Stegostoma tigrinum: one gene and its partners. The protein of the gene in region 1 interacts with the protein of each later gene in a pairwise test. Links are inferred from orthologs where the notes say so. Each region holds a gene or a part of one and is shown on either strand. Other genes may lie near its edges. The genes, in order: mlx, mxd4 and mnta.

Region 1 (10,927 bases):
TCTATTTCCACACTCTAGAACTGTACAATCTTTACCAACCGTCCCCAAGGCAAGTTCTGGTCTGTCCCTCTATTAAGATCAATGGAGGAATCCTCCCAAATGTTTAAAGTTTCCTCTATCTGTCAACCCACCCCTCATCTAAAGCTGACAGTGATGCTGAGATTCAATACCACATCCACTCTGTTAGCGCTTCCTCTGGACGTCTAAGTATGAGAGTACTCAATGACATGCTGATGCCAAGATCTTTGTGTATAAGTCAGTCATTCTTCTGACTCCAAAACTCGATGTAAACACCAGCTCAAGGCTTTTGAGAAGCACCAACTGAGCTGTATCACAAGAATTCTCCTCATCAGCTTGGGGGACAGCTATACTAACAAGTGTCCTAGAAGCAGCCAACATCAGCAGCGTCAAGGTCATGATCATCCAAAACAAACGCTGCTAGGCCAGCCACATGCTTAGGAAAGCTGAGTTTTGATGACCAAAGCAAATCTTCTCAGCCTAGCTCAAGGAACCAGGGACAAAAGAAGCATTTCAAAAATTCCCTGAAAGCATTCCCCCCTCAAGAAATGCAACACAGATCTCAACACATGGGAGACCCTCGTTTAGAAGACTTGGAGGAAAGTTTGGTACAAATTCTGAGAGCACTCGTCAGCAAAAGCAAGTATGCAAAAGGAACCAAAGAAAGGAACGCCAGTGACCTCAAATCCAAAGGCCAATTACACTTCCCAGAAAGAGAGGTGGTTCTCGGATCAGGATCAGCAGCTATGCAATGAACCACACAACCCATGATCAGTGACATGGAATTTCCTCAGAAGACAATCATACATTTTAGTGACTGATTGCTGACCATGACAGATTTAGCAAAATGTCCCTACTTCTATACTCCATTGCCTTTTTGAAATAAAGGCCAACAATTCTGTTTTCTTTCCCTGTTACCTGCTGAACTTGGGTGCTAGCTTTTTGCGATTCATGGATGAGGACTCCCAAAACCCCCTGTTCCATAGTCTTCTACAGTCTTTCTCCATTTAAATAATACTCAGTTCCTCTATTCTTCATGTAAGTGCAGAATCTCACATTTCCCCATATTATATTCTATCTGAGATAACAAGTTTCTGTCCACTCATTTTATCTTCAATATCCCTCTGTGTGGATGCTGGTCTAGCCAATCTTTACCAACCTTCCCCAAGGCAAATTCTGGTCTGTCCATCAATTAAGATCAATGGAGGAAACCTCCTAAATGTTTAAAGTTTCCTCCACCTGTTAACCTACCTCTGATCTAAAGCTGAGAGCGATGCGGAGATTTAATACCACATCCACTCTGTTAGTGCTGCCTCTGGGCATCTACGTGTGACAGTACTTGATAACATGCTGATGCCAAGATCCTTGTGTATAAGTCAGTCATTCTTCTGACTCCAAAACTTGGACTAAATGTAAATACCAGCTCAAGGCCCTTCAGAAGCACCAACTGCGCTGTATCACAAGAATTCTCCTCATCAGCTTGGGGGACAGGTCCTCTGAACAATCGAAAACAAAAGTGTCATTGGGAATCACCTCAAGGTGACAGGAGGAGCAAACTGGGCTGAGGTGATATTTACTGAAAACTGTACGACGTTGTCAAACAAGCCCAACCCTGAAACGTAGGAGTTTGACCCACTCTGTAATCTGTTGTGGGCTTTCAGACACTACACTCACCGGAATCAAAGCCATTATCGCTGAAGGAAGAATCAGTCTGCAACCAGGGGAAGATTCAGAACAAGAGGAGACAAAAAAACTTTAATGAAAGTAAAACATCATATTCCTCTCGCTGTCAGCTGCAAGTGCTCTTCACTCTGCGCACCCACCCTGCCCTCCAATCACTGCCACGCAATGACTGTCCTGCACCACTCTATGCAATCCAGCCTACCATGCCGACTGCTCCCACAATACTAACTTCCCATACACACACAACCATACCTCCTCACATCCAGTCAGTCCATCTAGCCTAGCCCCGCCCCAACAATCCCAGCCCCTCACACCCTGACACCCAGCCCAACTTCCTCACACCCCAACCCCTCACGCCCAGTCCCAAAGCAACAACCCCACTTCCTCAAACCCCAAAACCTCACACCCACCCACACCCCCAGACCCCACCACCTGACTCAGCAACATCGCCAACCCCACTCCAACACACCCTCAATCCCACACCCACACCATCCAGACCCCAGTCCTACTTCAACACTCCTACCCCATTGACACCATCACACACCCAGCCCAATCCAAACGCCCCACCTCCCACACCCCTACACACACCCCATCCACATGACCATACATCCAGCCTCACAACATCCCCAACCCATCACACGCCCCAGCCCCAACTCTCACACCCACAACCTCCCTCACATCCCCACCTCACCTACACCTTCTCACAACAGCCAACCACTGCTCACACCAACACATTCCCTCCCTCGCACCCCCACCCAATCCCACTCTCTCCGCTGCTCCCTCAACACCCGCTTTCTCTCTCACTCTCATCCTAGCTCAGCCCCCACCACTCCCACTCCCCGACACCACCACTCCCGCGCCCCCACAACACCACTCCCAACCCCCTCCACCCCCACTCCCCAACACCCCCGACATCCCCACTCCCCGACACCCCCTCCACCCCCACTCCCTGACAGCCCCACTCCCGACCCCCCACAACACCGCCACTCCCCAACACCCCCTCCACCCCACTCCCGACCCCCCACAACACCCCCACTCCCCGACAGCCCAACAACACCCCCACTCCCGACCCCCCACAACACCGCCACTCCCCAACACCCCCTCCACCCCACTCCCCGACAGCCCCACTCCCGACCCCCAACAACACCCCCACTCCCCAACACCCCCTCCACCCCACTCCCCGACAGCCCCACTCCCGACCCCCAACACCCCCACTCCCCGACAGCCCAACAACACCCCCACTCCCGATCCCTCACAACACCACCACTCCTGTCCCCCATCGCCCCCCCGACACCACCACTCCCGTCCCCCCTGCCCCCTCCCTCTCTCCGACCCGACACCACCACTCCCATCCCCCGCCCGACACCACCACTCCCGCCCCCCTGCCACTCGCCCCGACACCACCACCCCCGTCCCCCCACCACTCCCGTCCCCCCTCCCCCACCACTCCCGTCCCCCCATCCCCCACCACTCCCGTCCCCCCATCCCCACGCCCCTCCCCCACCACTCCCGTCCCCCTCCCCCACCACTCCCGTCCCCCCATCCCCACGCCCCTCCCCCACCACTCCCGTCCCCCTCCCCCACCACTCCCGTCCCCCCATCCACACCCCCCTCCCCCACCACTCCCGTCCCCCCATCCACACCCCCCTCCCGTCCCCCCTCCCCCTCCCCCACCACTCCCGTCCCGTCCCCCCCTCCCCTCCCCCACCACTCCCGTCCCGTCCCCCCCTCCCCCACCACTCCCGTCCCCCCCTCCCCCACCACTCCCGTCCCCCCCTCCCCCACCACTCCCGTCCCGTCCCCCCCCTCCCCCACCACTCCCGTCCCCCCCTCCCCCACCACTCCCGTCCCGTCCCCCCCCTCCCCCACCACTCCCGTCCCGTCCCCCACCACTCCCGTCCCCCCCTCCCCCTCCACTCCCGTCCCCCCCTCCCCCACCCCCACCACTCCCGTCCCCCCCTCCCCCACCCCCACCACTCCCGTCCCCCCCTCCCCCACCACTCCCGTCCCCCCCTCCCCCACCCCCACCACTCCCGTCCCCCCCTCCCCCACCCGCGGGGCCTTTCCGCTTGTCCCGGCTCGTGTCCACCAGACGGCCGCGGTCCCACCAGATCCGGAGGAGCCTGAGCCTGAACCTGGGACCCGCTTCCTCCGCCAAACCCACCCCCCTCACTGGATCCCCACAGTGGATTCCTCACCCTCCCAAACGGATCTTCGGGCGCTCCGCTCAGCTCCGTCATGGCGCCGCTCTGACCTCTGACCCCGCGGGCTACGCCACCGTGTGGCTAGAGGTGGAACAGCAGAGTTGTGACAGCGCTGTATTTCCCCTTTAGAAATCCATGCTGACTCGTCTTAATCAAATCACCTTGTTATCAAGATAATTCTATCCTGAATAGATATTTCTAGGACCTTCCTCACATCACAGTTAAACTGACTCATTTGTAATTGCTGTATTTACCCTTACAAGCTTTCTTGAACAAGGCTGTAATGTTTGCAATTCTCCAGTCTTCCAGCACTTCCTTCAAGGCTAGGGGATATTTAAAGATTACGGTTAGCACCTTTGTTCCTTCCACTCTCAGTTAAGTCAGGAAGTAGGCTGAAACTTTTTTTTAATTTTTGTAGAAAAACTAGAGGGCTTCGAGCTTGAGGTCTTGAACTTCAAGTGGAAAGAAGATGGGTCTGCCTGATGGCTGGAGATTTGTGCTCACATAAACTTCTTGCAGTTTATGATCCAGGACTGAGGTTCAGCGAGTATTCTTTGCAATGATATTTTGGCCTTTATTATAAGAGTACACGTGTAAAGATGCCTCGTATGCCTTAGAATCGCAACTGTACATTGAAATACTTCTTAAATGGGGCAATGAAGGTTACGGCTTCTCCCTATTCACCCTCCTAGCCAGATCATTATCAACTCCTTTTTCTATCCGAGATAACAAAGTGTGGAGCTGGATGAACACAGCAGGCCAAGCAGCATCTTAGGACCACCAAAGCTGATGTTTCGGGCCTAGGCCCTTCATCAGAAAACGGGGGTAGGGAGAGGATTTTGAAATAAATAGGGAGACAGGGGGAGGTGGACCGAAGATGGATAGAGAAGATAGGTGGAGAGGAGAGTATAAGTGGGGTGGTAGGGAGTGGATGTGGGTGAGGGAGGAGGTGTGGGAGCAAGTGTAGAACCTTCTGCGGTTGCAGGGTAAAGTGATGGGTGTGGTGTGGTTGGAGGGCAGTGTGAAGCGGACAAGGGAGTCCCGGAGCGTGTGGTCTCCCCGGAAGGCAGACAAAGGTGGGAATGGAAAAATGTCTTTGGTGGTGGGGTTGGATTGTTGATGACGGAAGTGTCAGAGGACCGCTTTGCAGAACACCTACGCTCGGTTCACAATAAACAACTGCACCTCCCAGTTGCGAACCATTTCAACTCCCCCTCACACTCCTTAGACAACATGAAGTTGGTAGGTAGGAAATGGAGGTGCGGCTTGAGGTGGGAAAAGGGGATAGGTGGGAGGAAGAACAGGTTAGGCAGGCAGGGACGAGCTGGGCTGGTTTTGGGATGTAGTGGTGGGGGAAAGGAAGATTTTGAACCTGGTGAAGTCCACATTGATACCATCGGGCTGCAGGGTTCCCCAAGCAGAATGAGTTGCTGTTCCTGCAACCTACAGGTGGCATCATTATGGCACTGCAGGAGGCCCATGATGGACGTGTCGTCTAAGGAACGGGAGGGGGGAGTTAAAACGGTTTGTGACTGGGAGGTGCAGTTGTTTATTGCGGACTGAGCATAGGTGTTCTGCAAAGTGGTCCCCAAGCCTCCGCTTGATTTCCCCAATGTGGAGGAAGCCACAACGGCTACAGCGGATGCAGTATACCACACTGGCAGATGTGCAGGTGAACATCTGCTTGATGTGGAAATTCATCTTGGGGCCTGCAATGGGGGTGAGGGAGGTGGTGTGGGGGCAAGTGTAGCACTTTCTGCGGTTGCAGGGGAAAGTGCTGGGTGTGGTGGGGCTGGAGGGGAGTGTGGAGCGAACAAGGGAGTCACGGAGAGAGTGGTCTCTCGGGAAGGCAGACAAGGGTGGGGTTGGAAAAATGTCTTGGGTGGTGGGATCAGATTATAGATGGCGGAAGTGTTGGAGGATGATGCGTTGTACGTGGAGCTTGGTGGGGTGGTATGTGAGGATGAGGGGGATTCTCTTAGGGCGGTTATTGCAGGGGCGGGGTGTGTTGTGGGAAATGCGGGAGACACGCTCAAGGGCGTTCTCGACCACTGCGGCGGGGGGGGGGGGGGGGGAGAGTTGTGGTCCTTGAAGAACGAGGACATCTGGGATGTACGGGAGTGGAATGCCTCATCCTGGGAGCAGACGCAGCAGAGGCGAAGGAATTGGGAATAGGGGATGGAATTTGCTTTTTCTATCCACCTGCTCTTCTCTCCCTTCAGGCTCTATCCTGTCATCTACTCCCTACCCCATACCCCCCCACCCCCTATTTTCTGTATATAAACCAATGTTTTCCCAGCTACCATCAGTTCTGAGGAAGGGTCACCGGAACCAAAACATTAAATCTGATCTTTTTCTTCACAGGTGCTGCCAGACCTACTGAGCTTTACCAGCAACTTCTGTTTTTGTTCCTGATTTACAGCATCCACAGTTCTTTCAGTTTTTAAGAGACCAAGCCCAGTAAGGCTAAGGGGAATAACAGAAAGAGAGAGGTTTTTGAACGTGGCACGACTGGTTGTCTCAGCTGTTTTTGTTTTAATGAGAAGAGCATGTGGGGGTAAGGCAGGTGAATTCAGAGGGTGGATTAACACATATAAATGTGACATTGGAGCTATTACAGAGACTTGTTTGAGAGAGGTTCCAGACTGGTACCTTAATGTTCCAGGATTTAGATGTTTCAGATGAGCTAGAAAGGGATGTAAAAGAGGCGGAGGAATTGACTTGCTGACAGGGGACAATATCACAGCTGTACTGAGGGACGACACCATGAAGGGCTCATCCAGTTGAAGCCATATGGGGAGATATCAGGAACAGGAAGGGTGCGATCATTTTGATGGGATTGTACTTCAGGCCTCCCAAAAGCCAGCAGGAGATTGAGGAACAGATATGTGGACAGATAATGGAAAGTGTAAAAATAACAAGGATTTTAACTTTATCGGTATTGGCTGGGACTTGCTCAGTGCCAGGGGCTTGGATGGGGATGGTGTGGGGTAACAAGTTTCTTCAGTCAGTCCAGGGAGGACTGACCTATCTCCTCTCCAGCCATACTCTCCTCCCCACCCACACTCTCCTCCCCACCCACACTCTCCTCCCCACCCACACTCTCCTCCCCACCCACACTCTCCTCCCCACCCACACTCTCCTCCCCACCCACACTCTCCTCTCCACCCACACTCTCCTCTCCACCCACACTCTCCTCTCCACCCACACTCTCCTCTCCACCCATACTCTCCTCCCCACCTATACTCTCCTCCCCACCTATACTCTCCTCCCCACCTATACTCTCCTCCCCACCTATACTCTCCTCCCCACCTATACTCTCCTCTCCACCTATCTTCTCCTCTATCCATCTCCAATCCACCCCCCCTCTCTCCCTATTTATTCCAGTTCCCTCTCCCCATCCCCCTCTCTGATGAAGAGTCTAGGCCCGAAACGTCAGCTTTTGTGCTCCTGAGGTGCTGCTTGGCCTGCTGTGTTCATCCAGCCTCACATTTTATTATCAGAGATGATGGGAACTGCAGATGCTGGAGATTCCAAGATAATAAAATTTTATTACACATTTTATTATCTTGGATTTTCCAGCATCTGCAGTTCCCATTATCTCTGATCACAAGTTTACCAGGATGTTGCCTGGTTTGAAGGGCAGTAGCTACAAAGGGAGATTAGACAAACTTGGTTTCTTTTCTCTTGAATGTCAAAGTATCTGAGGAGGAGGTGGCCTGGTTGAAGTTTACAAAATTATGAGGCGAGGATAGAATGGATAGTTGGGAGTCTTTCTCCCGGGTAGAAATGTCAGTTACTAGGATACATAGGCATTACATTATGACAAAAGCGGTATATATTTTAAGTAGATATGAAATTTTTTTTTTTTAAAACCAGCGTGCATCAACAAGAAAGTAATGTGAGGATGCATGTGCTAGTAAAATCAAAAACTACATGCAAAATATATTTTAACATTTATTTTTTTTAAAAATTACTACAGACATGGAAGACAGACTATTGAAAATCAGATAATTATTATTGACAAGAAAGTGAACTGGACTCACTATAGTAATACAGTGGCTACAACAGCAGATCAGAGTCTAGGAATACTGCGGTAAATAACTCATCCCTGACTCCCCAGTGCCTGTCCACCATCTACAAGGCACAAGTCAGGAATACAGTGGAATACTCCTGACTTGCCCAGATGAACAACAATCAAGAAACTTGACACTAACCAAGGATAAATGCAGAGAATGCCTCCCGTCATAGCAGAGTCTAGGAACTGACCACAGGGAAATCAATTTAAGACTGAGATGAAGAGGAATTTCCTCGGAGGGTTGAGCGCCTTTCAAACTTCTCGCCTATCAAAAACTCTGGGCACAAAGCCTTTGAGCATATTTAAGGCTGAGATTTTTGATCACTAGGGTAATCAAGGATTATGGAGAAAATGCAGGAAAGTGGATGTGTGGAATGTTGGATGGTGGAGCAGGCTCAAGGGGGTGAATGGCCAATTCCTGTTCCTATTTCTTATGATCTTATGGCTTGATAGCATACCATGGAGTTCACAATTGGGATCAGCTATTTAGTGCTCTGATAAGAAATTCACTCAAAGCATTGTGCACCTAGTGTTCAGTATTCCAGTGGAATTGTAGATATTCAGTTGTGACATATTAAAGACAAGAGATGACTATATCTTTGGGTACCAAGGTAATCAAGGGTGAGTAAAATTGCAGGAGGTCACCTATTGAATGGCGTATTGAACATATTGAATGGTAACCAAGCTCAAAAGTTCAAATTGCTTACTAATGTGCCTATTCATTGTATAACAAGAATGGAAACAGGCTGATTTTGAAATTGCAGAGTATTTCCAAATTGATTTGTTGATGATTATCTGAAGTGCATTGTTACAATTTTCACATTGTTGCACAACATGCGGAAGTACAAAAATATTTGTAGCTGGGTCAGTCTAAAAGACTAAAGATCCGTGTATTTATTAAGATGGTGAGAGAGGTCTACGCTTTTGAAGGAGCTGCCATGCCTTTTGTACCTAAAAATATACAACAGAAAACAAATGGTAAGATCAATGTTCCAACAGCCTTTGTTTCTTCTTTATCTGTTTCAACTTCTCTCTCATTATTTCAGTGGATAGGCTGTCAACCAACATTCCCTATAGGCTGTACAGCTACTAGGAAGTTCTGCACATGTTTTAGCTCTGAGTCATACAGCATGGAAATAGACCTTTCAGGCCAGCGAGTCCATGCTGAACATAATCCCAAACTAAACCAGCCCCACCTGCCTGCTCCTGGCCCGCAACCCTCCAAACGTTTCTGTACATGAACAATTCATGTACTTATCCAAATGTCTTCTAAACATACTTCTAAATGTACTTCCTCAGGAAATTCATTCCACGCACGAACCCCACATTTTATGTAAAAAATTTGCCCCTCATGTCATTTCAATATCTCTCTTCTCACTTTAAAAACATGCCCCCAGTCTTAAAATCCCCATCCTTGTGAAAGACAACTACCATTAACTCTGTCTATACCCCTCATGATTTTATAAAATTCTAAAAAAATGCATAGTCTGTGCAGCAGAAAAAAATAATTAAAGGGAGCTTTGCTGTCAACCAAAATTCACTGCCAATCCACTGATTCCCACTGCTATTTTGATTACAATTATTCCTGCCATACTTTGTGAATGGAGTCTAATCCATACAAAATTTCTCAATCTCTGTGGCATCTGTTCTGATGTTGCCACATTTTACATCAATTTTTGCCAATATGTTCTTCTTTATTCTAGACCAAGGACTCCCCCTCTACTGACAGAGCCCTTGAACATAACCAAAATCATTTTCAGCATTCCTCACCTTTCTCCTCCATTCAAAAACCATAAGAGGATTTTCCTTGATCTTCGGTTCCGCCCTACCAGTCTCACCTTACAGCTGATCAACTCCTGCCATTTCTAGTGTGACCAGTGCCAAAACATATTTTCTCTCCTTTTTGCATTCCAAAAGGACTGTTCCTCCAATTACTCCCCAGTTGACTGTCAATTACTCTCTTCCTGTCCATGATACGTTCCTGTGCAAGTGCAGAGGACGCCACACTTGCCCTTTAGGCTTCTCCCTTTCCACTGTCCAGGATTCTAAACACTCCTTTCGCATACAAGACACCTGTACATTTTTCAATTTGAAATACTCTAGTTACTATGAACCACATAGGCTACTCTAAACAGAAAAGCATCAGGCACAGACTGGATGATTATTTTGTGAAACATCTCCATTCAGTCCACAAGTGTGGCCTGTGCTTCTAGTTCTTTTTGGCTGTTTTATTTCTGCATCTCTTGCCATCTCTCTGTCCCTGCAACACTATTCTAATCAAATGGAATCTCAAAGAACGGAGTCTAATCTATTTATAATATTTTGAATTCAACAGAATTCAGTTTGAGATTATACTCACCCTACCCATCTTTTACTTTTTTCCTCTCCACCTCTGTACTGACTGAAAAACAGATTATATTCTTGACGTTTCCTAGTCCTGATAAAAAGCAATTGATCTGAAACATGAAAAGCCGAAAGAACTGCAGATGCTGTAATTCAGGAACAAAAACAGAAGTTTCTGGAAAAGCTCAGCAGGTCTGGCAGCATTCGTGAAGAAAAATCAGGGTTAATGTTTTTGGTCTAATGCCCCATCATCAGATTGTTGAGGAAGGTTTACTGGATCTGAAATGTTAACTCTGATGTTACTTCACAGAATTCTTTGAAGAAGTGACAAAATTGACAGATGAGGGAAGGGCTGTAGATGTCATGTTCATGGACTTCAGTAAGGCGTTTGATAAGGTTCCTCGTGGTAAGCTGATGGAGAAAGTGAAGTCGCATGGGGTCCAGGGTGTACTAGCTAGATGGATAGAGAATTGGCTGGGCAACAGGAGACAGTTCTAGTGGAAGGGAGTTTCTCAAAATGGAGAACTGTGACCAGTGGTGTTCCACAGGGATCCGTGTTGGGACCACGGTTGTTTGTGACTTATATAAATGATCTGCCGGA
Region 2 (10,170 bases), on another chromosome or scaffold:
CCAATTAAATCACCTATCACACAGGGAAGGAAATAAAATTGTAGCTTCTACTGTCATTGTTTAGAATTCTTGTTGGGAATCTGTAAAAGTGTATTTTCCAATGAAAGATGGCAGTCACTTGGCCAAATATAGGGTGTGGATAAGTCTGGCACTAACAGCATGAAGTGTAATCTCTGTTCTGGAAGGGCATGGATTTGGCACCAGCCTCATTGCCCTATCCATGGTGAAAGTTCTGGTGCTGTGTTTCGGCCTTGCATTTGGCCCGAGAATGCGAGTAGATGTGTTGCAGTGGCTTGTACTGGATCTTTCCTCAACCTAGCCTTGTTGAGCAGCTCAATGCTGCTTGGTTGGCAACTCTAACACTGATCGCGTGCTCTCTGATGGCGAGCTCAGTCACCAAAATAGACAGTCTGGGAGACATTACCAACCAGGGTTTGGTGGAAAAATGCCCAAGTATGTCCTGTGCACAGAGAGAAGGACAAATTCATCCTGGCCAATCACCAGCCCATCAGTCTACTCTTGATCATCAGTAAACTGATGGAAGATGTCATTAACAGTGCTATCATGCAGCATCTGCTCAGCAATAAACTGCTCAGTGATGCCTGGCTTGGGTTCTGCTAGAGTCATTGATTACAGCATTTGTTCAAACCTGCCCTTGGCATCAAGGCCACATTAGACTAGGTATGGCATCAAGTAGTTCCTGCAAAACTGGGATCAATAGGAATCAGTGGGCAAACTTTCCACAGGTTACAGTCATATCTGGCCCACAGGAAGATGGTCGTGGTTGGGGGGAGGTCAGTCCACCTTAGCTCCAGACAACTTTGTAGGAGTTCCTCAGTGTCGCGTCCTAGACTCAACCATCTTCAGCTGCTACATCAATGATCTTCCCTCCAGCATAAGGTCAGAAGTGGGGATGTTCACCGATGATTTCATAACATTCAGCACCATCTGCGACTCCTCAAATACTGAGGCAGTCCATGTTCACATGCAACAAGATCTGGACAACATCCAGGCTTGGGCTGAAAAGTGGCAAGTAACATTTGCACCACACAAATGCCAGGCTATCACCATCTCCAATAAGATGCAATCTAATCATCTAGACATTTAATAATGTTACCATTACTGAATCCACTGCTATCAACATCTTTGGGGTTACCACTTTAGCAGAAACTGAACTGGAGGACTTATATAAACACAGTGGGTACAAGACCAGGTCAGAGGCTAGGAATACTGCTGCATGTAATTCACCTCCTGACTCACCAAAGTACCGTCGACAAGGCACAAGGCAGGAGTGTGATGGAATACTCCCCATTTGCCTGGATGGGTGCAGCCCCAACACTCAAGAAGCTTGGCACCACCCAGGTTAAAGCCCCCACTTAATTGGCACCACATCCACAAGCATCCACTCCCTTGGGGCGGCACAGTGGCTCAGTGGTTAGCACTGCAGCCTCACAGCGCCAGGGGCCCAGGTTTGATTCCACCCTCAGGCGGCTGTCTGTGTGGAGTTTGCACATTCTCCCAGTGTCTGCATGGGTTTCCTCCCACAGTCCAAAGATGCGCAGGTTAGGTGGATCGGCCGTGCTAAATTGTCCTGTAGTGGGATGTGTGGGTTATGGGGGATGGGTCTGGGTGGGATGCTCCGAGGGATGGTGTGGACTTGTTGGGCCAAAGGGTCTGTTTCCACACTGTAGGGAATCTAATCCACCACCGACACTCAGTGGCAGCAGAATGTACTATCCACAAGCATCTGCTCCCTCCACCACCGACACTCAGTGGCAGCAGAATGTGCTATCCACAAGCATCTGCTCCCTCCACCACCGACACTCAGTGGCAGCAGAATGTGCTATCCACAAGCATCTGCTCCCTCCACCATCGACACTCAGTGGCAGCAGAATGTACTGTCCACAAGCATCTGCTCCCTCCACCACCGACACTCAGTGGCAGCAGTATGTACTATCCATCTACAAGATATTCTGCAGAAATTCACCAGTGATATATACACGTGGCATCATTTTCCAAGTCAGGCTGGTGAGTGGCTCGGAGGAGAATCTTGCAAGTGGTTGTGCTCTCATGTATCTGCCGCTCTTGTGCTTCCAGAATGATTGTAACCTTTTTTGGGACATGTTGGTGTGATATTTAAATGCCAGCTCATGTTTGAAACCACAGAAAAATGGGTAATATTGCATTGGGCAACCTTTCATGAAACGTGAAGCATGATGTTTGCAAAGCTGAGGTTTACAAAGCTGGGTGGGAGGGCGAGCTGTGAGGAGGATGCAGAGACGCTTCGGGGTGATTTGGATACATTGAGTTAGTGGGTAAAGACATGGAAGATGACATATAATGTGAATAAATGTGATGGGATTCACTTTGGTGGCTAAAAACAGGCAGATTATTATCTGAAATGCGATGGATTGGGAAAGGTGGAAGTGCACAGCAGTTACTTAAAGAAAAGTACAGCAGGTGGTGAAGAAGGCAAATGGCATGTTGGCCTTCATCGTGAGAGGATTCAAGTACAGGAGCAGGAATGTTTTGCTGCAGTTGTACAGGGCATTGGGGAGACTATACTGTGGACAGTTTTGGTATCCTTCTATGAGGAAGGATGCTCTGGCCATGGACTGAGTACAACAGCAATTTACCAGACTGACTCCTGGAACTGCCAGACTGACTTATGAATGGAGACTGGATCGGTTAAGACCGTATTCACCAGAGGTTTGAAGTACTAGAAACCTGTAACACCCTAACAGGGTCAGACAAGGTAAATACAGCAATGATATTTCTGATGACCACAGAGTCCAGAACCAGAAGTCACAGAATAGGGATTCAGGGTAGGCTATACCACACTGAGATAAGAAGCTTCTTCACCCAGAGACTGGCAAGCCTGTGGAAGTCTGTTGCAGAAAGCAGTTGATGCTAAAGTATTAAATGTTCAAGAAGCTAATAGATATAGGTCTTAAGGTAAAAGAGATCAAAGTGTGAGGGGAGAAGGTGGACCAGGGGACTGAGTTGGATATGTCAACAACCATATTGAATGGTGCATGAGGCTGGAAGGGCCAAATGGCCTACTACTGCATTCAATGCTCAGATATTTTGAGGTTTTGCACTTTGGAAAAAAGAATACAGGCATGGACTATTTTCTAAACGGTGAAAAAATTCACAAATCAGAAGTGCAAAGCGATCTGGGAGTGTTGGTCCAGGATTCTCTAAAGGTTAACTTGCAGGTAGAGTCCGTAATTAAGAAAGCGAATGTAATGTTGTCGTTTATCTCAAGAGGGTTGGAATATAAAAGCAGCGACGTGCTTCTGAGGCTTTATAAAGCTCTAGTTAGGCCCCAGTTAGAATACTGTGTCCAATTTTGGGCCCTACAACTCAGGAAGGACATACTAGCCCTGGAGCGTGTCCAGCAGAGATTCACACAGATGATCCCTGGAATAAGATAATAAAGTGTGAAGTTGGATGAACACAACAGGCCAAGCAGCATCTCAGGAGCACAAAAGCTGACGTTTCGGGCCTAGACCCTTCATCAGAGAGGGGGATGGGGTGAGGGTTCTGGAATAAATAGGGAGAGAGGGGGAGGTGGACCGAAGATGGAGAGAAAAGAAGATAGGTGGAGAGGAGAGTATAGGTGGGGAGGTAGGGAGGGGATAGGTCAGTCCAGGGAAGACGGACAGGTCAAGGAGGCAGGATGAGGTGGTAGGTAGGAAATGGAGGTGCGGCTTGAGGTGAGAGGAAGAACAGGTTAGGGAAGCGGAGTGGGGGGAGGGGATGAGCTGGGCTGGTTGTGTGGTGCAGTGGGGGGAGGGGACGAGCTGGGCTGGTTGTGGGATGGGGTGGGGTAGGGGAGATTTTGAAGCTGGTGAAGTCCACATTGATACCATTAAGCTGCAGGGTTCCCAAGCAGATTATGAGTTGCTGTTCCTGCAACCTTCGGGTGGCATCATTGTGGCACTGCAGGAGGCCCATGATGGACATGTCATCTAAAGAATGGGAGGGGGAGTTGAAATGGTTCACGACTGGGAGGTGCAGTTGTTTATTGCGAACCGAGCAGAGGTGTTCTGCAAAGCGGTCCCCAAGCCTCCGCTTCGTTTCCCCAATGTAGAGGGAGCCTCCCCCCCCCCCACCGCATCCCAAAACCAGCCCAGTTCGTCCCCTCCCCCCACTGCACCACACAACCAGCCCAGCTCTTCCCCTCCACCCACTGCATCCCAAAACCAGTCCAACCTGTCTCTGCCTCCCTAACCTGTGCTTCCTCTCACCCATCCCTTCCTCCCACCCCAAGCCACACCTCCATTTCCTACCTACTAACCTCATCCCACCTCCTTGACCTGTCCGTCTTCCCTGGACTGACCTATCTCCTCCCTACCTCCCCACCTATACTCTCCTCTCCACCTATCTTCTTTTCTCTCCATCTTCGGTCCGCCTCCCCATCTCTCCCTATTTATTCCAGAACCCTCACCCCAACCCCCTCTCTGATGCAGAGTCTAGGCCCGAAACGTCTGCTTTTGTGCTCCTGAGATGCTGCTTGGCCTGCTGTGTTCATCCAGCTTCACACTTTGTTATCTTGGATTCTCCAGCATCTGCAGTCCCCATTATCTCTGATCCCTGGAATGGTAGGTTTAATGTATGATAAACGGCTAAGGATCCTGGGATTGTACTCATTCGAGTTTAGAAGGTTGAGGGGAGATCCAATAGAAACTTACAAGATAATGTATGGTTTAGAAGGAATGGACGCTAGGAAGTTGTTTCCGTTAGACGGGGAAACTAGGACCCGTGGGCACAGCCTTAAAATTAGAGGGGGTAAATTTAAAACTGAAATAAGATGACATTTCTTCAGCCAGAGAGTGGTGGGCTTGTGTAATTCATTGCCGCAGAGTGCAGTGGAGGCCCGGACGTTGGATGCCTTCAAGGTAGAGATCGACAAATTCTTGATCTCATAAGGAATCAAGGGCTACGGGGAGAGTGCAGGGAAGTGGAGTTGAAATGCCCATCAGCCATGATTTAAATGGCAGAGTGGACTCGATGGGCTGATCGGCCTTACTTCCATTCCAGCTGTTTACATACTTAACTAGATAATAAAATGTGAGGCTGGATGAACACAGCAGGCCAAGCAGCATCTCGGGAGCACAAAAGCTGACGTTTCGGGCCTAGACCCTTCATCAGAGAGGGGGATGGGGAGAGGGAACTGGAATAAATAGGGAGAGAGGGGGAGGCGGACCGAAGATGGAGAGTAAAGAAGATAGGTGGAGAGAGTGTAGGTGGGGAGGTAGGGAGGGAATAGGTCAGTCCAGGGAAGACGGACAGGTCAAGGAGGTGGGATGAGGTTAGTAGGTAGCTGGGGGTGCGGCTTGGGGTGGGAGGAAGGGATGGGTGAGAGGAAGAACCGGTTAGGGAGGCAGAGACAGGTTGGACTGGTTTTGGGATGCAGTGGGTGGGGGGGGGGGAAGAGCTGGGCTGGTTGTGTGGTGCAGTGGGGGGAAGGGACAAACTGGGCTGGTTTAGGGATGCAGTAGGGGAAGGGGAGATTTTGAAACTGGTGAAGTCCACATTGATACCATTGGGCTGCAGGGTTCCCAGGCGGAATATGAGTTGCTGTTCCTGCAACCTTCGGGTGGCATCATTGTGGCACTGCAGGAGGCCCAATACAAAATGGCAATATTCACTTTGTCACGTTTCTGTGCATTTCAGCAGGCACAAAAAAAATCAAAAACCAGTCAATTTGTTAAATTAGTCCCACAGCAAAATAAAGACCATTTCCTACAAGCAGAGCTTACCCACAACGTGCCACATTGCCAACAACATCTCCCGAAGGGCGGAGCGCTCCTGGCCCCGCCCAACTGATCAAGACGCGCAGACTGGCCCCGCCCGTCTCATTAGAATGCCCGACCTGGTCGCCCAATGGTAAGGGGAAGGTAGCTCTTTGCATACGGTGGCGTCCGCCAATGGACGCGCAGCCCACAGGGTCACGCGGCCTCTGTTGCTAGGGCCCACGGGTGGATACAGTGATCGGATACACGCTCACGGGAGCCAATGAGCTGAGCTGCGGGCGGACGGCGACTTGTTGATACATCTGTGTCTGTGTCTGGGCGTATGCGCGTGCGCTCGGTGGGGGGGGGGGTGGTGGCTTGGGGAGGGAGAGGCGAAACCTACCCTGACTGTTGTTTCTCGTCCTAGGAGCTCCCCATTGGAGAGAATGGGACTTAGAGCCCGATCTGTCAATCAAATCGCGTCACAATACATCTGGGCTGCTTAGCAGGCTAGGTTGAGGTGACAGAGGGTTTGCAAAAACTTGTCTCTTAGAGTCAGTTGTCTTTGCCTCTCGTTTTAACTTTTTTTAAAAAAGTGTCTAGATATTTTTTGGAAATTTTATTTTCCACCTGTAATTCTCGGACAGGCCATTTTGTTGTAGTTGTTGTTACTAGGTAGGAAAATTACCGCACAAACTATATTTTTTAAATATAAAAAACTCACACACCATCACTTTATCTGGGGAGAAATGGCATTTTTTAATATTCAAACTTTGCTGGAAGCAGCCGAGTACATCGAGAGAAGAGAGAGAGGTACGATTGCAGGGTTTTGTTTGCCTCGCAGTGTCGAATCTTCTCCGGGTGCAGCTCTGTAGTTGTGGTTATGTTGTTTCTGTTTTTTTAAAAAAAAAATTTTTATTTGGCTTTCAGAGGCAGAACACGGCTACGCGTCAATTTTGCCCTGCAACGTCGAATTCAACAGGAAGAAAGGCAAGACGAGGAAAACACCAAATAACAGGTACAAGGAGAGGCCCGGGGAGGGCTGGTGGAGGGGGGTGGCATCGCTGTTTTTTAAATTATATATTTGGCTCTTTAATCTTTCCCAGTCGCCATTTTCCCTCATTTGGGCTTGCCTGTGTTTAGGTCGGATATAAACACTGCCACGCGTACAGTATTCTCTCTTCATATTTTACAGGGCAGCTGCTTCTAGCAACCTCCTGCACATTTCTACTCTGCAAACCCTCCTCTTTTTTTAAAAAAAGTGAAGTTCCTTCCCCCCCCCCCCACCCCATCCTTTTCTTCTTCCACCCAGAATTTAATATCAATTTTAATCGCATTTTTCAAAGATTTTTTTTTTGGTTTTTGACTGTCGCTGCTTCCTTCCCCGTACATGGAGTGTTGATATTTTTATTTAACGTTTCTTCAAAAATAGACATCTAGATGGAAATAAAACCCATTTCTTTCTCCTTTTCCCCCCCGCTCCGCAAAAAGATAAACGGTTTTGCACGTTATTTATTCCCTTAGGTTTGTGAACGTGATGTTGGTTAAATATTCCGATAAGGTTAAGTAAGGTGTAGAAGAAAAGAAAGGTGACTCGTTCCGTCGATTTTTAATTTGTCCTTTTTTAAAAATTTTGAGCGATGTTTTTTTCTCATCCAGATTTTTTTTGGTTTTTTTGTCTGTGGCTGATCTCGGTGCTGCGCCTGCGCCCTGTTTGCTGCTCTAAGTGGGTTGGAGGATAGGCTCCAGCAGTCTCCACTTTGGACCTGTTTCGATCCGCTTCTCCCTGGCCTGTCTGCAGCCTTCACTTGCAAACTCTCATGGCTCTGAGCTCTCGGCGTGCCCTCATTTAGCTGTCTGCGTTTTCAGAAAATCCACCAGTGTGGGTAGAGGCCATTCAGCCCTCACTATCAAGCCTTCTGCAGCAGCTGCTGGGTTTACTGCCCTCTGTCCACCTTGCAAGATTTTTCTTTTAAACTGTTAATCTCTGATGATGGTCATTTGCCCTGCAGAAGCTGTGATTGGAACTTAATTCACTCCCTTCGCTATGTAAAGGCTGCCCTCGTGTTGCATCCAGTTCCTCTTTATTCATAAAATCCTTAGTGTGGAAGCAGGCCATTCAGCCCATCGAGTCCGCACTGACCCTCTGAAGAATATCGCCATCTCCACAACCCTGTATTCCTGATGGCTAATCTACCTGGCACGCACATCCCTGGATTCTATGGGTAATTTAACATGGCCAACCGACATAGCTGGCACATCTTTAGACTGTGGGAGGAAACCCTTGCGGATGCAGGGAGAACGTGCAAACTCCACACACACTTTCACCCAAGGCTGGAATCAGTCCCAGGTCCCTGGTGCTGTGAGACCCTGGTGCTAACCACTGAGTCACTGTGCTGCTGCATTCCTTTGCAGATCACCTTAAATTGCCCTCCTTTTTGTTACATGTTTAGTGGAATCACGTTCTTCCTATCTACAGCATTTAAGACAACTTTTTTAGAAACCATTCTGTTGCGGTTGGTAGTGTCAAATCGTAAATAGCTCACTGTTGCCCTGTATTTCTGATTCTGCGATCATTTCTCCGCATTTGTCGATTGGGATTGATTGTGTTAATGCTACAAGTGCTTTCTTGCACGTTTGCTACACCTCACAGGACCAAACTGCTCAAGTCCCTGCCAGTTCTGTCTAGCTCACCCCACTCTGTCCTAGTGCCCTCCTCTGTCCCTGCCTGTTTGATTCCCTCGCGTGTCTCAGTCAATTTTTCTGAAATGGGTAGCACCATTTTATCTCTGAGATCGGCAGTTCATGGGTATGGGGTGGGAGGGGGAAGGTTCCCAAGTCCTCATGTCATTCTTTAGCGAGACACCCAGTGCTGGGTTACTGCCTGTCCAATCCCGAGCCTTTTTCCAGACGTGACTACAGCCATTGCCTGACAGGCACCTGGTATGATTCAGCCTGTGTTAGAGTAACTTCCTTCACCGTTTTAGGTGGTGTCACTCTGTCTGTCTGATGCAACTTGGCTCGGTTTCACCCGACAGGTGAGAAGGTTAGATTTTTGTCATTACTAGACTCTAAGCACGTACTCACTTAAGACGTAAATTGCTTAAGAGATTTTTCAGTTTTCCTGGGAATGGAGGCCTGGAGAACCTTTTTGGCCACTTCTCTAGTGATTCCTCTACCTTCACCTGATGTATCTATCGCAGCTCAGCAGGGGTCACTGGTTAACAATGTGAACCTTTTTTTCTTGAAAACCCCACCACTCTGCTCTCACTTCTGACTGAATAGCTTACAATTATGTTCCCTTGTGATTGAATGAAGGGCCCTTACTGGACTACAGCTGCTGCCTGTCCAGGGATCCATTGGTGACTGGGATTTAAAGCCCTTGTACCTTACTGCAGCTAGCAGTTAGTGCCTATTGTGTGAGGCCACGTCTGGCATTCAGGTGTGTTTTGGCCTCTGTATTTGACAGTGTGTAATCTAGTTGCATTAGGCAGCAATTCAGCAGAAGTTTGCTTGGTTGATCCCTGTGGTGAAGAGAGAGTTGAGCGGGATGGACTGGTACCTGTTAACACCTCTCCTTGTGGAGGCCACGAACACATAGAGGCCACAGCTTAAGGTGGAGGAGGAAGGAGATTTTCCTCTGGTGTATATGGATCCTCAGGAAGCAGTGGAGAATGGGCCTTCAAATTTATTCAAGGCAGAGTTGAATTTTTGACGAGGAAGCTGAGGCAACTCTTGTACTCGCATGACCATCTTCAACAATATCACAGCTTCACAGACAGAGTCATAGAGATTTACGGCACAGGAAAAGGCTGTTTGGCCCATCTTATCCATGCCAGTCATTAACGACCACCAAATTATTCTAATCCCGCTTTCCAGCACCAGTCCTTGTATGTCTTGGCATTGCTGCTGCTTCTATGTTATGCCTGTACCATGTTTTTAGAGTTCCAGATTCCCACCACCTTCTGGATGCAAAATACTTTTCCTGGCATCTTCTCTACAACTTCTCCTTTTCTTTAAAGCTATCCTCATTCATCCCTCCAGGGTGAAATGTTTCTTTGTATCTATCGTATCTATGCCCGTCAATTTTATGTATCTCAGCCTTGCCTCCCCTCAGTCTCCTATGCTTTAAGGAAAACAATCACAGTTTGCCCAGCCCTCTTCATAACTGAAACTGTCCAGCCCAGGCAATATCCTGGTGAATCTCCCCTTGACCCTCCCCCTCCTGTATTGTGTATTTTATAACTGCACACAGTGGTCTAGCTGTGGTCAACCAACATTTTATACAGTTCCAGCATAAACTCCCTGCTCTTAAACTCTCAGCCTTGTTTCAATACACCGCCTTAACCACTTTACCCACCTGCCCTGGTACCTAAGGGACTGGTGTACGTCTGCACCAAGGACCTTCTGACACAGTGCTTCCCAAAGT
Region 3 (10,416 bases), on another chromosome or scaffold:
AATCTGAAATAAATACAAATGTCACCCATAACTATTGTAAATCCAATGGCAGTTCCACAATTATTCTTGGATGCAATGGTGTTCAAAAACAAACACAAGTAGATTTCAGATCATCCAAGACATTGCTCACAAAGAAGAACTTTTACATAATATTTGTAGCAATGAACCAGGTCATTCAATCCAATGGGGCCATGTGCCTCACATAAATAAGTTACTGTCCAGGATACCATGTGACAGATGGGGCAATTCTTCACCCAGAGAATGTTGGACAAGTGACAGCATGCCCCGTGAGATAGAAGGCTTCAAGACTGCCAGATTTACTTTCTTTTCTTTCTCCTCTCCATCATTCTGACTCATCATCAAGACACTGGGACATAACTTATCCACCAAGCTGTATCATGCTATCGATATTCAATTTTGAATGATTGGTAGCAAGTTCCTCCCAGGCATTAAGCTCAAAGTTACTATCCTTCAAGAGTGCTTTACAGTTTAAAGTTTTTGAGAAGACTTGTAGCTTGGTTTGTGGATGAGGTTGTAGACTTGTTTACTAAGCCAGTGAGTTTGATTCTATCACCGGCTCAGCAAGCAAGCCTACAACCTCAGTGTTTCAGAGTGTGTTAGAAACATTTTCTTTATACTCCCCTGAAATGTTCATCATCTGAGAATTGAGAAGACAGGAGCAGTTGGGGGAAATGGTTAATGGCAATTTGGATACAATGGCCAGTTCATCAAAATGAATTTTTCCAAAGTTATGACTAAATCCTGTGCATCTGGTTTCAAGAAGGACATTGACACTTGCTTGACGATCCTTTCAATTAAGTTCGAGGATGTGGTAGAGGCATCACTACTGGAATCCTCTAGGACTCATTACACTCTGCCGATACACAGTCCAGATCTTAGTGTAGTACACAAGTGTGATGATGACAACTATCTGGACACGAGGATTTCTGTTGATGTGGAGGTCTTGTCTGTCAAACATTCAGGGCCATTGTATTTAGAAGGCCAAACTGCCACAACTGATGCAATGATGAATCTCCTTGTCAGTGGAGAGGTGGCTACCAAGATATGGGCAATGCTTAATATATTTCAGTCTCTCCTTCAACATGTATGGGGAGTAGAATTTCTTTTGCCAATCGGCTACAAGGGTTGACATTGGCAATGTTAGTGGATATGCTGTATGTAGAATTACAGAGATTGAGAGTGGCAAGTGAAAGCAGGTACAGTGGGACTGGTAGCTAGTCCCTGATGTCTCTTGCCTTGCTAATTGGTCCATGGTTAGGAAAGTTTGTGAACTACTGCCCCAATTGGCAGTGGTTCGTTTGGAATATATATTTTCCCATTCTATTAATTGTACAGCAGTATTTGAAGAAACGGGCTTCTATTTGTTTGGAAACAAAACTTTTTAGGCAATTTGACATCTAATTTTGGCATTGTACAGGGGAAAATATCTTGATGAAACAACTAACGGATTAGCTTGCGTTAGTTTGGGTAGATTTGGCATTGGATGATAAATGCTAGCCTAGCTAGTGACAACCCACCACTCAACAAACTAAAAAGTATAAAAAAAGAAACTGCTGTAAAATGCAATATAGAGCTTCTTTTAAAGTTTATTTTACATGAATAATCTGTTGCAATCTGTGCATAATAGTCCGTAATCAAGAGACTAGAACATGATCAATTACTTGAAAGATTTATGAGTGAAGATGGGCCGAAAAGATCTTGTTTTAAAAATGCTTCCAAAAGCAAAGTTACTCAGACTGGCATGAGCTGGGAATTGGTGTTCCATGCAGGGTTTGACGCTGGCACCACTTCTGAACAGTATTTACACAAAACACTTGGACTTGGGAATCAGAACATCTTTAAAATTCATGGATCGTTGAATCATAATTATAATACCCTCGAAAAACTGTGGAAAACTTCACAAAGTCTTTGATGAACTGTCAGACTTAAAAAGTAAAGGTAAAGTCAGAGCAATCTTACCAGACCATACAGCTCCTTCCTCAATAGCAAGACACCATCTGGTGATGGTTTAACCTGAGGATCACCACACCTCAGGCAAGGGGAGTTATTGAGAAGGAGAGTCCTTTGTGGGAACGTCAGCCAGTACAGAAATTGAACACATGCTGTTGGTCATCACTCTGCATTACAACCAGCCATCTACCCATCTGAGCTAACCCACCTCCTATTTTCAGAATTAACATGCAAGTAGAAAATTTAGTTCAATATTTAACTGTGAACTAGTCATTTATTAGGAGAAATAAAGAGTTCAAAATAATCCTTGAAATATAAGAGTCTCAATGGTGTTTAAAAGTAAAGGGTTCTTGGTGTGCATGTTCATAAATCATAAGAAATAGCAACAGAAGTTAACAAGGATATAAAAGTCCTAACCAAACCATTGGAGTAATTTCCAGAGCAATAGAATTGAAAATGAGTGAAGTTGTGTTAACCATTAATAGAGCATTGGTTAGACCACATTTGGAGTAATATGTACAGTTCGGATCTCTATACTTAACACAGAGGTGAAGCAAAAATAATTTACAAGAATTATACCAGAACTCAGAGCTTATAATGATTAGACAAAACAGAATAAATTAGATGGGTGTTTAATAAAATAGAAGTAGAGATGTGTCCACTACAGAGAGTAGTCCAAAATTAATACTAAGTATAGTAATTAACAAATCCCAACAAATATTGTAAGAGCAATGCATTTACCGTGTCTGAGTCTGAAATGCACATGGAGTAGGTTTTGTTTCAAGCAGATATCAGAGGAATATAGAGCAGGAGGATTTCTGCAAATAAATCAAGGATCTAATGAATCATCTGTAATTGTATATCACAGCAATAGGGAGGGATTAAAGAGCCAGGCTCCCTGTCAATGATTGTTGTCCTGTAGTTACTGCTGGAAAGTACATACATATCTTACATTTGTGCAGAGCTTTTCATTTAATTATAATTTTATAAAGGCATGCCCAAGGCTTCACAGGTGCAATAGCAAACAAAATCTGACACTCAAACAAATAAAGATTAGATCAGATGACAAAAACTTCGGAAAGAAGCAGTTTTCAAATATCTCAAAAGAGGCAAGATAGAGCAGTTTAGGGAGGAAATTACAGAACTTGGATATGGTTGTCAATGATGGACAGGTAGAATTTGGTGATGCATAAAAGGCCAGAGTTAGTAAAGCATAAAGAATATCATGGTAATTTAATCCATCCTGCTGGTGCTGATTCTCTGAATGATTTGGCTAAAGTAATCCCATTGCTGAGGTTATTCTTCCCCATAATATTTTATTCATAAAATTTGTGAACTGATATTACAAAAAAATCTTGAATGTTGACGATTTTGCAATAAAATTCAACTTGTTTATTGATACAATGCTGTATGTTTGTTCCCTTTCGAAGTATCCAAATAAAATTTTAACGCTGACAAGATACATTCTGTATTTAGCATTCAGAAGGCAGAATGAAATCAAATTGAAAATTACAAAAAGTGCATTTAAAATAAATCTTCTTTCAACATTATATTCCACTCTGAGGTACCTCGGCACAATTTCAACGATGTTCACAAGGTACCTTATTTGTCTGTTTCTAAAGTTTCCAGTTTCTCAGAGTGCTGTGGCTGAAAGTCGTTAAGCAGAGACCCCTCCCATTGTAGTTTGCACCACCATACAGGCTACATTTTGGTGCTTGTTTCGAAACTCTGGCAACAGATTTTTTTCTCTCTCTGCAGGGCCTTGGGGGCGTTACGAGCTAATCGCTCCCTGTCAGACTTGTGGAGGAGTCATTTTGCCTGAACCTCGCATAAACTTCTCTGCGAGGGGCAGACGATAACAGCACAGTCCAACTACCTACTTCCCAATGCCTAGAAAATGTATTAAGTAAGGACGGTCGCATTATCGGCTAACTGTGCAACTCTATCCTCAGCATGACCCAACACCTTCAGCACAAACGGAGGAACAACGTTGACAAATGAATGAATGCAACCAGAGGGCAGCATGAATCATGGGGTTGAGAATGAAGTTTGAGTCGGATGGTTTGATTTAAAAGGGAAAGGGAGTTGTTATTTTGCAGAACTGTAGTTAAGTCGATGTATAAAGTTGCTGCTGCCAAGCATTTAATTCTGTGCAGGCTTAAATCCAGATTTGGAAATTGATGATGTTTTCTTCCCAGAAGGGAGACTGAATAATCCCTAACATTTATTTGGATTTTCCAATATTCGCAATGTGAAGTATGATTTTTGTCCAAACTTCTAATTGTATTAACCGCCCCTCCTAGAGTTGGCAATTTGGATTATGATCGATAAATACACTTTGTAAAGAAGTTTTCAAACATTAAATTACGTGCGCCGCACCTTTCAGCATTTCATTTATTTCTGTTAATGGCTTCTTCAATTCCTCCAGCACCTAAAAAGTTAAAGACGACATGAAACATGTGACGTCTAGTTATGGAGTTTAAAGCTAGCGCAGCCCATCGCCTCCTACCCCCCCCCCCCACTTTGCGCCAATAACGTGCTTTTATTATCATTTTGTCTCGTGAACAAATTACGGTCACTGTCACTGACTCACAGGTCACACGGTTTCGAGTGAAAATTTGCACTTTATTTCACAAGTCGACCTGTAACTGACCACGGCTAGACTCCAACCTTAGATCCGCCCCTTTAAATATCATGCGTCGCGTTCGTTCCAAGCCCCGCCTTCACCACGTTGTTCTTCTGCTGTTTTGTCAAACACGACTTTGCACTCTTCCGCATCCTCTGCCTCCTGATACCACACCCTACCGAGTGCGAGCCGCCTCCATTTTGTACTTTCCTTATCAACAACCCCCCCCCCCCAAAAAAAAGCGCACGGTCGTGCCGCAAGTGCATTGGCAAAGCGCCCGAGAAACCTCTCACTAATCCGCACACGGACCTGTGGCGCGCACCAAGCACGTTGGACTATGGTGGATTTCCAGTATGCCCATAGTACACACAGAATATAGCGCAAAAAGGCAAAGACACAGGCTCCTCGAGTAAGAGCGCCCTACACACTAGCATTAACTGTTGCCCTAAATGAATGAGATCATTTCCAGCAAAAGCAAGCGGCAACACCCCTCCCCCCGCCATTCAAATAAAAGTTATTTTCAATCACTGTCTCTTTATCCTAATAAACCTGCGGTGGATTAACGCAGATGGGCGTCCATGTGAAAATACTACTGTTAAGCCTTCTCCAGCGTGATTGGTGTGAGTGTCGGGGTGGATCAAATGAGATGTAAATGAGCAGCACGATGCGAACCGAGCTGGTTGTTTGGAAACACTGGTGAATTTCCAGCGAACGTTTCGTCTCAATCGGATACATTGCAGCTTCGGATTGTTACTTAACGTTCGAAATTGGAACGCGACGCTTCCGCAATGAGTTGGATCCCGATTCGCTGAAGGCGAGAGTCCCAGGAATTCAAGGGACGTTGAGCAAAAAAAAATCTCAAGCATCTCCCGTTTCGGCGTGAGATCTGGGACGTAGTTTGCGTAGGGCTGCTAGTGGGCAGTATTACCGCTTGTTGTGATTACTGGATTTTGGGGCTGTATACTGCGCCATCTTGAGACTTCTTTTTCTCCCCCCCACCACCCCCCCACTTCTCAATCCCTCATCTGAAAGATTCTGGGGGGTTTAAAGGATATCTTGTTTGCTCTTTCACTCGGTCTACTGGGCCTGTAGAAGGCGGCCAAATTAAAACTTAGTCTACCCCACCCCCGGCCCCCCTTGGTTGCCTGATCCCACAACCACAAAAAGAGAAAAATCACCCCCTTTTAAAAAAAAGTGATTGATAGGATCGAGCATGAGTATCGAAACACTCCTGGAAGCTGCAATGTTTTTGGAATTGCAAGCGCAACAACAGAAAACACGTGGTAAGAGAGCGCATGGATGTAACATTTCTGTCTCTCTCTCTCTCTCTCTCTGACCAATGCGGATACTCGTCTGTTTTTTGTTATTCTGGCCCGGCTTTCTGAAAATCCGTATAGCCTTTCATTATTACACGATCCTCTTTAGATTGTTGCACTTTGGATGTTACATTGTATTGTTACATATAAGTGATAGTACTAGACATTGTAATAATGTTTATGGCAGGAAACGATAACGTGATTATTTTCATTCAGAATTTTTCGAGGCAAGTCATTTGACGTAAAATATAGCTTTTCTAGTAAAATCACGTAAAGTAATTAGGATCATTTACCAGTCAGCATCGCTGTAGGTTTCGGATGTAACTGACTATTTTTTTCTGTGGTGAGCTACACATTTGTAATAAGGTTGACACGTGGAGATGTTCAAATTTTGGATAATGCTACCCGCTTATAGTGCACCAAAGCCAGTCGATTGTACCGTATACTTATGATTTAAGGAATTCTTTTCCAGGGGCAGGGCCGAGTCAGACGTTCAAAAATACTGTAGTCTGTTTGCATAATGACGTGTCGTGGCATGGGGTGGAGGTGTCATATGATACTTGGTAGTTCCGCTTTTTTTGTTGCAGTTTTTATTCAGTGTTGTTTGAGTTAATCCGACCCTCTTTTATTCTTGAATGTAACGGAAGGCGGAAGAGGCAGGGAGATACATTGTAGTGAGGGATGTCGCAGAGCCGGCGTTGCTGGCATCTCCCTCAGCCTCATCTCCACGAGCTATTGTTAATAATAGTGCCAGTGTATTTTGTTCAGCCTGACGTGTCTGACTCCTCCCCGCTACCACGTGCATTGGGACAAGCCTGCCTTCCGTAAATTCAGATTCACCTTACCTATTCAGAAGCTCTCCAGCAGCAACACACGTTACAAATATGGTGGTGCGATTTTTTTCAGTTCTACTGGTCAGTTATCAACTGACCGAGCTTCCCGCCCCTTTATTTAACAGCTGTCGAGTATCCTCACGCCTTTGGCGTTTTCCCTTTAATTTCTAGCCTTGCTGTCACACAGTTGCGTTTCCTGACGATCGTGGGCGGTGATCGCCTGACATTCCACACTACTGTGTGCACTTCACCTTGGATGACTACGCCTGAGACGGTCGATTTTAGATTAAATCAAATCATATAGGGGTACAATACGAAAAAAAACAATGATACTTCTCCGGGCGGGAGACGTGTATTAAAACATCTCCTTAAGGAGAGCTAAATAACATTCACGCTTTTCATTCACAATAGCGGACTAAGACTTCATCTCTGTCCCCCGTATCATAAAATCTTGTCCCGAGACTGCGTTATTGTTTCGCCACAAACCCCCACAGATATTGAGGATTTCCCCCCTCCAAGAAACTACATTCAGAATTGAGTTTAGCAGCCTTGCCATGCTGTTACTCTTCATTTTTGATACTGGGCATACGATGGTCTGGTAGTATTATCGCTGGACCGTTAATCCAGTAGACCCATCTAACGATAGACTCGGGTTCGAATCTCGCCGTGACAGATGGTGGAATTTGAAATTTGGAATTCAGGATCTAATGATGACTATGAATCCATTTTTGATTGTTGGGGGAAACCCTTTGGAAACTGCCATCCTTACCTGGTCTGGCCTACGCGTGACTCCAGATCCACAGCAGTGTGTTGACGCTGAACTGCACTCTGAGCAATTAAGAATGGGCAATAAATGCTGCCCTCTTCCCATTAATGAATAAAGGGAAAAACTTGTCGAAAAACAATGTGTACTGGCGGAGAGAATTATCTTGTGAAAGAGTTGACCTATTCGGCACTTTTTGGCTGCACAACAAAAGCAGGATGATGCTCTTTCATCTCTGCTGCTCCCCGGCCCTCATCCTCAACTGTCATTTGTGGGTGTAAACAAGCTGGGAGCTGGGAGCAGGGAGTTGCCAACATTGCATTCCCATTAAAAACCTGGCCAATGGATGTCTTTTGGAGTTTAACGTTAGTAGAATGAATAAGAGAAGCTGGTCCTTTTGTGTTTCTGAGATAATGGGAACTGCAGATGCTGGAGAATCCAAGACAACAAAATGTGAGGCTGGATGAACACAGCAGGCCAAGCAGCATCTCAGGAGCACAAAAGCTGACGTTTCGGGCCTAGACCCTTCATCAGAGAGCACCTTTTGTGTCTCTGTCTTGATAGGAGTTTAAGAAATAGAAGGAGACATATGTCATATGGTCTCTCAGATCTGTTCCTCCATTTAATGAGATCAAGTGTGATCTTGATAATTCACTGCCCTGTCTCTCCAATCTATTTTATGATTCCTGTTGAATACAAACATCAATTTTTAGCCTTGTATTCAAGGGCTGAGCATTCACGGCTCTCTGGGGTTGAGAATTCAAAGATTCACAATCATCTGAGGGAAGATAGTTTTCCTTACCATAGTTCTCCATGGCTGAATGTTTATCCTGGGACTATGCTCCTTAGATTCTTCATCAGGGAATACAAACTTTCAACAGCTACGGTGCCGTGCCCTGTCAGAGTTTCAACTTGAGACTTTCGAAAACAGGCCTTTTTTACTCAATCTCTCTCAGGACAACTCTCATCTCACAGCTCAAAATCACTCAAGCTTCCTTAGGCATGGTGACCAAAACTGCAAAAGTGTAATTTCACGAAAGCCCTGTACCTTGCAACAAGAGCTCCTTTGCTTGTACTCCAACACAATCGCAATAAAAGGCAACATTTCACTTGCTTTTGTAATTGCTGGGTGGACCTGCATGTTGACTTTGGAGTATCTTTGGAACATTAATCAGAATTTAATACTTCCTCTTAATTTTAAAAAAAAAGTTTAGTTTTTGGTTCTATACCAAAGTTCTATAACCTTGCAGCATCCTCATCAGAAATTTTTCTCTAAAATCACATTTTTTCAATTAAGCATAAAAATATTTTTGTTGAATATGTGCACTACCGCAGTTCTTTCCTGGGACTATGACCTCTGCCTATTGATTGTTTGTTTATTTTTTTTTCTACAGATAAAAGCCATTGTCAATGCAAATTTGCTGCAATGGGAGCCCTAATCCAGGGGTAGATCCTTATCCTGACTGTGACAGGTTGATTCATTGTCAAGGGTTCATTCCCATTTGGGGGCAGGCAAAGGGAGAGCTGTATACTATGTCTGACAGCTCTTGTGCAGAAAAACCTTGTGCTAATTTTATGCTTTCAGACTCCATACCTTCCACATATTCCCCCATCCACAGTAATATCCTTTGTTGAAAGTGTGTTTTTATATCTGCCAAAGAAAACATACTTTTGTTCAAATTATCAGCAGGTTTGCCTTGTGATAAAGCAGACAGAGATGAAGTGAAACTGATCCTTTTCCAGTACCAAATTATCTAGGCTGAATGGATACAACTGGCTTTCATCTTTATGTTAGGGAAGAGGAGAAGAATCATGATTGCATTCTGGATTGTCCAGTCATCTCTGCAGGAGAGTGAGAATGTTAGTTGGGGACAAGATAGCACTTGTGTGATAGCATTATACAGCAATGAAACAGACCCTTTGGTCCAACTCGTTAATGCCGACTAACTTTCCCAAACTAACTTGGTATTGCATGCGCTTGGCCCATATCTCTCTAAACCGTTCCTATTCATGTACCTATACAAATAGCTTTTAGATGTTGTAGCTGTACCTGCAGCTACCACCTCCTCTGGCAGTTCATTCCACACACAAAGCACCATCTGTGTGAAAACATTGCCTCTCGGGTCCTTGTTAAATCTTTCTCCTCTCACCTTAAAAATACCTCCCCCAATTTTGAATTCCCCATGCTAGGAAAAAGACATTTACTATTCACCTTTTCTATGTCCCTCATGGTTTTCTAATCCTCTATAAGGTCACCCACAAACTCCTACGCTCTATCCGTTCTGATAACATCCTGGTAAATCTTTTGTGAACCCTCTCCAATTTAATAAGATCCTTCCTGGACCAGGGTGACCAAAACTGTACACAGTACTCTGAAAGTGACCTCACCCTGTACAATCTGAACATGATGTTCCAACTCCTATGTGCAGTGGTCTGAGCAATTAAGGCAAGCATGCTAATCATCTTCTTTACCAACCTGTCTACCTATAATGCAACTTTTAAAGAACTATGTACCTGAACACCTAAGTCTCTCTGTTCAACTATACTATTCAGGAACCTGCCATTAACAGTGTAAGCCCTGCCCTTGTTTGTTTTACCAAAGTGCAATACCTCACATTTATCCAAATTAAACTCCATTGCCACTCCTCAGTCATTGGTCCAGTCGATCAAGATCCCTTTATAATCTTCGATAACCTTCTTCACTGTTTTGATGTCATCTGCAAACGTACTAAGCATGCCTCCTAAATTCTCATCCAAATCATTAATATTATTTACAAACGAAAGTGGACCCAGCACTGATCCCTGTGGATCACCACTAGTCACAGTCCGAAAACAATCTTCTACCACCTCCCTCTGTCTCCTTCTGCTGAGCCAGTTTTGTATCCAGTTGGCAGGTTTAACCCTGAA

What was found.
Region 2: the proteins of mlx (region 1) and mxd4 interact in a two-hybrid assay, tested with the Homo sapiens proteins (2 studies listed by BioGRID). The link is inferred for Stegostoma tigrinum from reciprocal best matches to the Homo sapiens genes MLX and MXD4.
Region 3: the proteins of mlx (region 1) and mnta interact in a two-hybrid assay, tested with the Homo sapiens proteins (2 studies listed by BioGRID and IntAct). The link is inferred for Stegostoma tigrinum from reciprocal best matches to the Homo sapiens genes MLX and MNT.

Annotation. Positions count from the first base shown.
Region 1 is NC_081384.1:128-11,054, reverse strand, and holds the start of mlx (max-like protein X), read right to left. Parts: upstream 3,995-10,927; 5' UTR 3,942-3,994; coding exon 3,900-3,941; intron 1,730-3,899; coding exon 1,693-1,729; intron 1-1,692. UniProt on the Homo sapiens protein: Transcription regulator. Forms a sequence-specific DNA-binding protein complex with MAD1, MAD4, MNT, WBSCR14 and MLXIP which recognizes the core sequence 5'-CACGTG-3'. The TCFL4-MAD1, TCFL4-MAD4, TCFL4-WBSCR14 complexes are transcriptional repressors.
Region 2 is NC_081356.1:131,303,750-131,313,919, forward strand, and holds the start of mxd4 (max dimerization protein 4), read left to right. Parts: upstream 1-6,200; 5' UTR 6,201-6,490; coding exon 6,491-6,554; intron 6,555-6,671; coding exon 6,672-6,759; intron 6,760-10,170. UniProt on the Homo sapiens protein: Transcriptional repressor. Binds with MAX to form a sequence-specific DNA-binding protein complex which recognizes the core sequence 5'-CAC[GA]TG-3'.
Region 3 is NC_081380.1:36,388,224-36,398,639, forward strand, and holds the start of mnta (max-binding protein MNT), read left to right. Parts: upstream 1-5,262; 5' UTR 5,263-5,810; coding exon 5,811-5,880; intron 5,881-6,206; exon of another isoform or gene 6,207-6,351; intron 6,352-10,416. UniProt on the Homo sapiens protein: Binds DNA as a heterodimer with MAX and represses transcription. Binds to the canonical E box sequence 5'-CACGTG-3' and, with higher affinity, to 5'-CACGCG-3'.